Linked DNA regions of Stegostoma tigrinum. The protein of the gene in region 1 interacts with the protein of each later gene in a pairwise test. Links are inferred from orthologs where the notes say so. Each region holds a gene or a part of one and is shown on either strand. Other genes may lie near its edges.

Region 1 (3,749 bases):
AAGGGAAGAAAGAAGAAACTGTACCACAAAGGAAGATATGAGCGAAAAAAGACCTGACAGGGCCTCAGAGTGAAGACAGAAGAAAAGGAATACGAAAGAGGGTCATTTTGGAGTGGAATAAGTAAAAAAAGAAGAAAGAAGAAAGTTTAAAAATGCATGCGTAGAATAGGGTGAGAAGAATTTACTTGATTTTTTTTTGTTTGTCTGAATTTTTGTGCAGGAAATGTGGGGAGGTGGTGGGAAAACACTACAAGAAAACACCCCATAAAAGTCTTCAAGCCAGAAGGAAATGCCCACAGTCAGCCATGTCGGGGGGGGGGGGGGGGGAGGTGAAGAATACAAGGGAATATTAAAAAGACAGGCAGGAAGAGGAAGTGGGGAAAAGAAAAGCAATATTGAAAAAGGGGGAAGGGGTAAGAGGGAGAAAGTTAAAAAGGGTAGGGGAGAATATTAAAAGAGACAGGAAGAAAGGGGAGAACATTTTTAAAAATGACCGGGAATATTTAAACAAGGTGGAGATATTGAGTGTAAGAAAGAAAAAGGAGGGTATGGAAAGGAAAGGAATATTTAAAAGAGAAAAGGAACAGAAAGAAGGGGCAAGGTGAAACTATTTTGAGAAGGAAATAGAGGGAGAAATATTTACAAGAAGTCAGAGAAGGATATTTAAAAAAATGAGGGGGGAATGTTCTAAAAAAAGAAAAGGGAGGGGATATTTAAAAAACAAAGGAAAGGAATTTCAATAAAGGGAAATAGAACATTTTTAAAGAAGAAAGGGAAGGGGGTAGATAGAATGAGTATTTTGAAAAAACGGGAGGGGAAGAGAGAGAGAGAGGATATTTAAAATAAAAAGGAAGGGAGGGGGAAGAGAAGGCATATTTAAAAACAGAAAGGAAGAGAGAGAATAGAGGGAATATTTAAGAAATGAAGGGGAGAAGAGAGGCAATATTTAAGAATTGAAGGGGAGAGGAGAGGGAATTTAAGAAAAGGAAGGAAGGGGGAGGAGAGGGAATTTTTAAGAAAAGGAAGGTCAAAAGAGAGGGAATATTTAAAAAAAACAAGGGTAGGAGGAAGAGAGAGAAAACATTTAAGAAAAACATAAGCTTTGTAGAGAAGGGGAATGTTTAAAGGAAAAGGGGATTTATTTAAGAAAGGGAATGGGGGAAGAGGGGAAATTTCTGGTTTTAAAGTAGGCGGAGGAGAAAGAACATTTTGGAAGGAGCAAGGATATATTAAGAGGGAATTGGTGGGCAGGGGGGTCAGAGGAAAACACTGTTGGGGGGGTGGATGTCAAGTTAATAACAGGAGGATTCAGAAAGAAAACTGTTGCTGTGGGGGGTGTCAAGTTAATAAAAAAGGGGGATTTAAAAAGAAAACTGTTGTTGTGGGGGGATGTCAATTTAATTAAAAAAAGGGGGATTTAAACAAAAACTGTTGTTGTGAGTGGGGGATGTCAAGTCAATAACGGGGGATTTAAAAAGGAAACTTGTGGTGGGGATGTCAAGTTAATAACAGGGGATTAAAAAAGAAAAGTGTTGCTGGGCGGGGTGTCAAGTTAATAACAGGGGGATTTAAACAAAACTGTTGTTATGGGGGGGGGTGTCAAGTTAATAAAAGGGATTAAAAATGAAAACTGTTGCTGTTTCGGAGATGAAAACGCCCCGTTCGAGCTTTTGAAATTCTGGGGGGGGGGGGGGGGGGGGGGGGGGTGAAGAGAAAGAAAACCGTGACCCCCGCCGCGATCGAGGTCATTTATTTTATTTTATTTATTTATTTACCCCGCAACCTTAGTTTTCCAGTTGCCCCTCCCCCCTCCTAAAATGGCGGCCCTACCCCTCCCCCCACCACACACACAGACACAACCACCTCCCGCCGGCGCGAGAGGCCGCCCGCAACCGCCCCCCCCCCCCCGCCGCCAGGTCCGTTTCAAACCGCCGCGCGCCGCTTCCAACCGTAAAACCCAATTTGAAATTCAACCGTCAACCGTCGCCCCCACCCCGCGCCGCGCGCCGCCCGCCCGCCGCGCGCCTTTTTTCACCGCCCCCCCCCATCCTCCTCCTCCTCCTCCTCCTCCTCCTCACCTTGCTACGAGACGATGTTTTTTTTTGTTGTTGTGTGAGGGGGGGGCGGAATTCTAAAGGTGGGGGGTTTGCGTTTGTGTGTGTTGTGGTGGTGGTGGTGGTGGGGGGGGGGGAAGAAATGTGTGGGTTTCTTGAAACGGAACAGGAACGGTTTCTCTCCGTTTTTCCAGGCCCCCCCCAGGGGCGGGCACGCGCGCCACACACACACACACGCGGGGACACGGTTTTGTTTTTTTGGGGGGGGTCCTGCGAACGGCGGCTGCGTCACTTCCGCTTTCTCCGCCAGACCCCATCCCCTTTTTTCCTGGGTCCGTGAGGTCACTTCCTGCCACCACCTCCTCCTCCTCTTCCATCGTTGACATCCCATAATTGGTGGAAGACAAGGTAAGATTCCCTTTCCTTTCTTCTGGTGGTGCATCAACTCTACCCCCCCCCCCCAACTCAATCCATCTTCCACCCCCCCCCATTGCAACCATTAGTAACACTCCCCCCCCCCCCATCACCACCATCTCTCCACCTCACCCCCCCCCATCACCACCATCTCTCCACCTCACCCCCCCCCATCACCACCATCTCTCCACCTCACCCCCCCCCATCACCACCATCTCTCCACCTCACCCCCCCCCATCACCACCATCTCTCCACCTCACCCCCCCCCATCACCACCATCTCTCCACCTCAACCCCCCCCCATCACCACCATCTCCCTACCTCACCCCCCCATCACCACCATCTCTCCACCTCACCCCCCCCCATCACCACCATCTCTCCACCTCATCCCCCATCACCACCATCTCTCCACCTCACCCCCCCCATCACCACCATCTCTCCACCTCACCCCCCCCATCACCACCATCTCTCCACCTCAACCCCCCATCACCACCATCTCTCCACCTCACCCCCCCCCATCACCACCATCTCTCCACCTCACCCCCCCATCACCACCATCTCTCCACCTCACCCCCCCCATCACCACCATCTCTCCACCTCAACCCCCCATCACCACCATCTCTCCACCTCACCCCCCCCCATCACCACCATCTCTCCACCTCACCCCCCCATCACCACCATCTCTGTACCTCACCCCCCCATCACCACCATCTCTCCACCTCATCCCCCATCACCACCATCTCTCCACCTCACCCCCCCATCACCACCATCTCTCCACCTCACCCCCCCCATCACCACCATCTCTCCACCTCAACCCCCCATCACCACCATCTCTCCACCTCATCCCCCATCACCACCATCTCTCCACCTCACCCCCCCATCACCACCATCTCTCCACCTCACCCCCCCCCCATCACCACCATCTCTCCACCTCACCCCCCCATCACCACCATCTCTCCACCTTAACCCCCCCATCACCACCATCTCCCTACCTCACCCCCCCATCACCACCATCTCTCCACCTCAACCCCCCATCACCACCATCTCTCCACCTCACCCCCCCATCACCACCATCTCTCCACCTCACCCCCCCATCACCACCATCTCCCTACCTCACCCCCCCATCACCACCATCTCTCCACCTCACCCCCCATCACCACCATCTCTCCACCTCACCCCCCATCACCACCATCTCTGTACCTCACCCCCCCATCACCACCATCTCTGTACCTCACCCCCCCATCACCACCATCTCTCCACCTCACCCCCCCATCACCACCAT
Region 2 (3,749 bases), on another chromosome or scaffold:
TAATTCACAACTCACCAGCAGAGGTACATCCCAGTGAGGAAGGGGATAAATCGACCATGGTATTAAGGACAGTATCAAATCCAAATTGAAAAAAACACAATGTTTTTGTGGTAAGCCAGAGTATTGGTAAAGAGAAGAAAAAGCAATATTGAGAGCAAACTATAAAGTAATATCAAGGAAACAGTAGACAAACTGAGAAAATATTCCACATTAGTCTTCAAGATAGAAAGCACTAACAGCATTCCAAAAATACTAAATGATCAATGGACAATATCAGGGGTGCAGGGGAAATAAATCACTAGAGAAAAAGTACTAGGTAAAGCAATGAGTCTAAAGGCAGTTAAATCCCCTGGACTTGATGGGATGCATTCTAGGTTAAAGGTAGTAGTCTTCCAAGAATTCCAATAGGTTATACAAGTCCGAGAGGAATGGAAAACTATCAATGTAATAGCCTTGTACAAAAAGGGAGACAGCAAAACAAAAAAGACAACTACAGGCCAATTAGCTTAACATCCAGGAGAAATTACTGCAGATGCTGGAATCTATGCTGAAAACAAAAAATGCTGCAGATCATAGCGGGTCAGGCAGCATCCAGGCAGAGAGAAAATTAATGTTGAGTCTAGATGATTCTCCATCAGAGCTCAACACCTATCATTGGGAAGATGTGAGCGTCTATTAAAAAAATGTAATAACAGAACATTTGGTAATAAATATGTTCAAGCACAGTCTGCAAGGCTTCACAAAGGGGATATCACATCTGACACATTTATTCAACTTCTTTAAACAGGATACATAAGAGGAGAACACGTAAATATAATATATTTGTATTTTCAAATGTGTCTGATAAGGTAACACATGCATGGCTACTTATTAAGACAAGAGCCTGTGGTGTTGGGGTAGTACATTAGCACAGATACAGGATCGATCAAGTAATAGAAGGCAGGAAGTTGGGATATGGGGGGATGCAGTTTAAGGATAGCAACTTGTAACCACTGAAGCACATGGATCTGAGATAGGGCCACAATTATTTACAATATACATTAATGACTTTGATGGGGGAAGTGAATGTACTGGAGCCAAGTTTACGATCAACACAAAAAAGGAAAGACAAAATGTTGCAGAGATAAGGACAGGTTAAATAATTAGTCAAAAAAATTGGCAGATGGAATATCATATGGGGAAATGTTATGCACTTCAACTGGAAGAATAGAAAAGCTGAACATTATTCAGCATACTGTCTATAAGCATTTATTTTTGAAGTTCTCTAACCTAAAGGGTGCTGATGCTCCTTGTGCGTAAATCACAAAATGCTAACACATAAGCTCGACAGGTAATATGGATTCTTGGCCTCTAATTCAAGGGGAATAGAATATTAAAAATACTCTATTGTTTACTTTAACCATGAAAGGCATTAGTCAGACCACAACTGTTTTGGTCCTGTGACCCAAGGGTAGACATATAGGCAGCTCTGGGTATGGAGGGTTTTTTTCTTAAAATTTATTTGTGGGACATGGGCAACATCCTTAGCTGTCCTTGAACTGAGTGACTGGCTAGGCCGTTTCAGAAGGCATATGAGATTCAACCACACTGCTGTGGGTCTGGAGTCACATGAAGATGGCAGATTTCCTTCCCCAAAGTATATTATTGAGCCAGATGGGTTTACGATTTCATGGCCATCATTAGACTGTAGATTCTAAATTCCAGATATTTTATTGAATTCAAATTTCACCATCTGCTGTGACGGGATTTGAACCAGGAAATTAACTAATTTTCTGGATTAGTTATCTACTGATAATACCATTAGGCCAAAGAGGAAAAGGTTGAATAGGTTAGACCTGGACTCATTGGAATTTAAAGGAAGAACAGGATACTATTTGAGAACATGAGATTTTGAGGGATCCTTACAGCATAGAAAGGGAGCGTTTTTCCTTTAATGTGAGGGTGTTATCTCAGAATAAAAGGCCATCCACTTAAATTAGAAATGAGGACTTTCTTCTTCTGGGAAGTAGTGTATCTGTGGAACTGTACTGTAGACAGCTGTTGAAGTTGGGTCATTATTTTCAAGGCTGAAATTTACAGATTTGCAATCAGTAAAGGAATCGAGGGTATTGGGGAAAAGGCTAAAAAAGGGAGTTGAGGATAAGCTATAAACTCGTGAAATAATAGCACAGATTTGATAAGATGAATTGCTTAACTCTGAACCTTTATGTTAAGGAAAAACTCAGTTCACTGAGAGGATTCTAAATCTTTGTGGGGTTCTCTAACCCAGAGGATTGTGGAGGCTTGATTGTTGACTATATTTAAGCCTGGGGTAGACTCATGTTTGGACAGTGAATGAACAGAGGAATATGAGGAGCGGGATCAGCGCGAATGGTAATAAATATCAGTGATCCCTGACGGCTGCGTCTATCTCTCTACGATTCGGCGCTACACAAACGTACCTTACTGGCGTGCAGGCCACTGGAGCCTCGGCGGCTGAGTGCTGCCGGAGCCGATGGCCAAGCACTCCCCGGGCCCTCACCCAGCTCCCTCCCATCCCCCGCTCTCACCATCCTGGGCCCGGTTCGTTCTGGAGCCTGCCTGTCCGCTTCCCTGCAGCCCGCCGACGCCTGCGGCCTTGCCCCCGCTCGATCCTCGGTGTCGGCCCGAACCCAGATCCCGCGGCCGGGGACCTGACGTCAGCGCGCACTGCCTCGGGTGCGAGCACGGCCCTAACCACCCGCGGGAGCGCGCGCTACCTGAACGGGGTGGGGGGGGACGCGCCTTTCTTTCTTTCGCCCCCTCACTTGGCGGGGCCCAGCCGCCCGGTTCCTTGCTTACCTCAGGTGGCAGCGCTGGAGGTACCAGCCGGCCAGACGGGCGGGTGACCTGACGTGAAGGCACGCGGCTCGGCTTCCCCCACCGAGGCCCGGGCTCCTTTTTGCTTTTCCTCCTCCTTCGGAGTCTCACTAAGCCGCCATCTTACAGCCAGCCCGCCTCCGCCAATCAGAGCCGCCGCTAGGCACCCGCCAATCAGCACCAACCTCCAGCCTCCACCAACCAGCGCTGTTTTCCCGCCTCCACCAATCAGAGCCGCAGACCAACAGTAATCTCGCGAGATTCTAGTGCGAACCCAGTGTCCCTTAAAGGGGTCGTGCTGCATCTTGTCGTCGTGGGAACAGCTGGAGGGTTGAGCCTCTCACACCTGCCTTATTCAAATCATTGTCAGTCTGCATCTAATTCCACCTTGTTTCCCTTCCCTTCCCTTTCATGTCAGTCATTTGTTTAACTCTTAAACAAAAGGAAAGAGCTGCGGATGTTGTAAATCAGGAAACAGAACAGAAATTGCTGGAAGAGCTCAGCAGGCATGGCAGCAAATGAACGTTTCTGGTCCAGTGACCCTTCCTCAGAACTGGTGTTATGGGGAGAAGGTAGCAAAATGGCATTATTTGAATTGATCAATTGAAGACCGGTAATAAACATCACTGGGTGAATGGCCTTCATATGTGCCATGACATATCTGTGACTCATTGACAGATTAAATAATGGCCAGGCCATTCAGATAGCTCCCATGATGTTCAGAAATTTCAGAACATACTGATGCATTGTTTCTGAGGAAGGGTCATTGGACCCAAAACTTTAACATGTGTCTGACTCTTACTTGCCCTCTGAAATGGTCAAGCAAACCCCTCCCCCTGCTCAGTCCATGGGAAAAAGCTACCATCCAAGTTCGGTTGGTATTAGGGAATGTTGGCCTTTATTTCAAAAGG

The links.
Region 2: the proteins of pogzb (region 1) and transcriptional regulator QRICH1-like interact in binary tests that used the Homo sapiens proteins (3 or more experiments, as listed by UniProt). The two-hybrid records come from large-scale screens. The link is inferred for Stegostoma tigrinum from reciprocal best matches to the Homo sapiens genes POGZ and QRICH1.

What each region holds. Positions count from the first base shown.
Region 1 is NC_081400.1:4,828,103-4,831,851, forward strand, and holds the start of pogzb (pogo transposable element with ZNF domain), read right to left. Parts: upstream 2,347-3,749; 5' UTR 2,079-2,346; intron 219-2,078; exon of another isoform or gene 1-218. UniProt on the Homo sapiens protein: Plays a role in mitotic cell cycle progression and is involved in kinetochore assembly and mitotic sister chromatid cohesion.
Region 2 is NC_081364.1:994,028-997,776, forward strand, and holds the start of transcriptional regulator QRICH1-like, read right to left. Parts: upstream 2,673-3,749; 5' UTR 2,553-2,672; coding exon 2,550-2,552; intron 1-2,549. UniProt on the Homo sapiens protein: Transcriptional regulator that acts as a mediator of the integrated stress response (ISR) through transcriptional control of protein homeostasis under conditions of ER stress.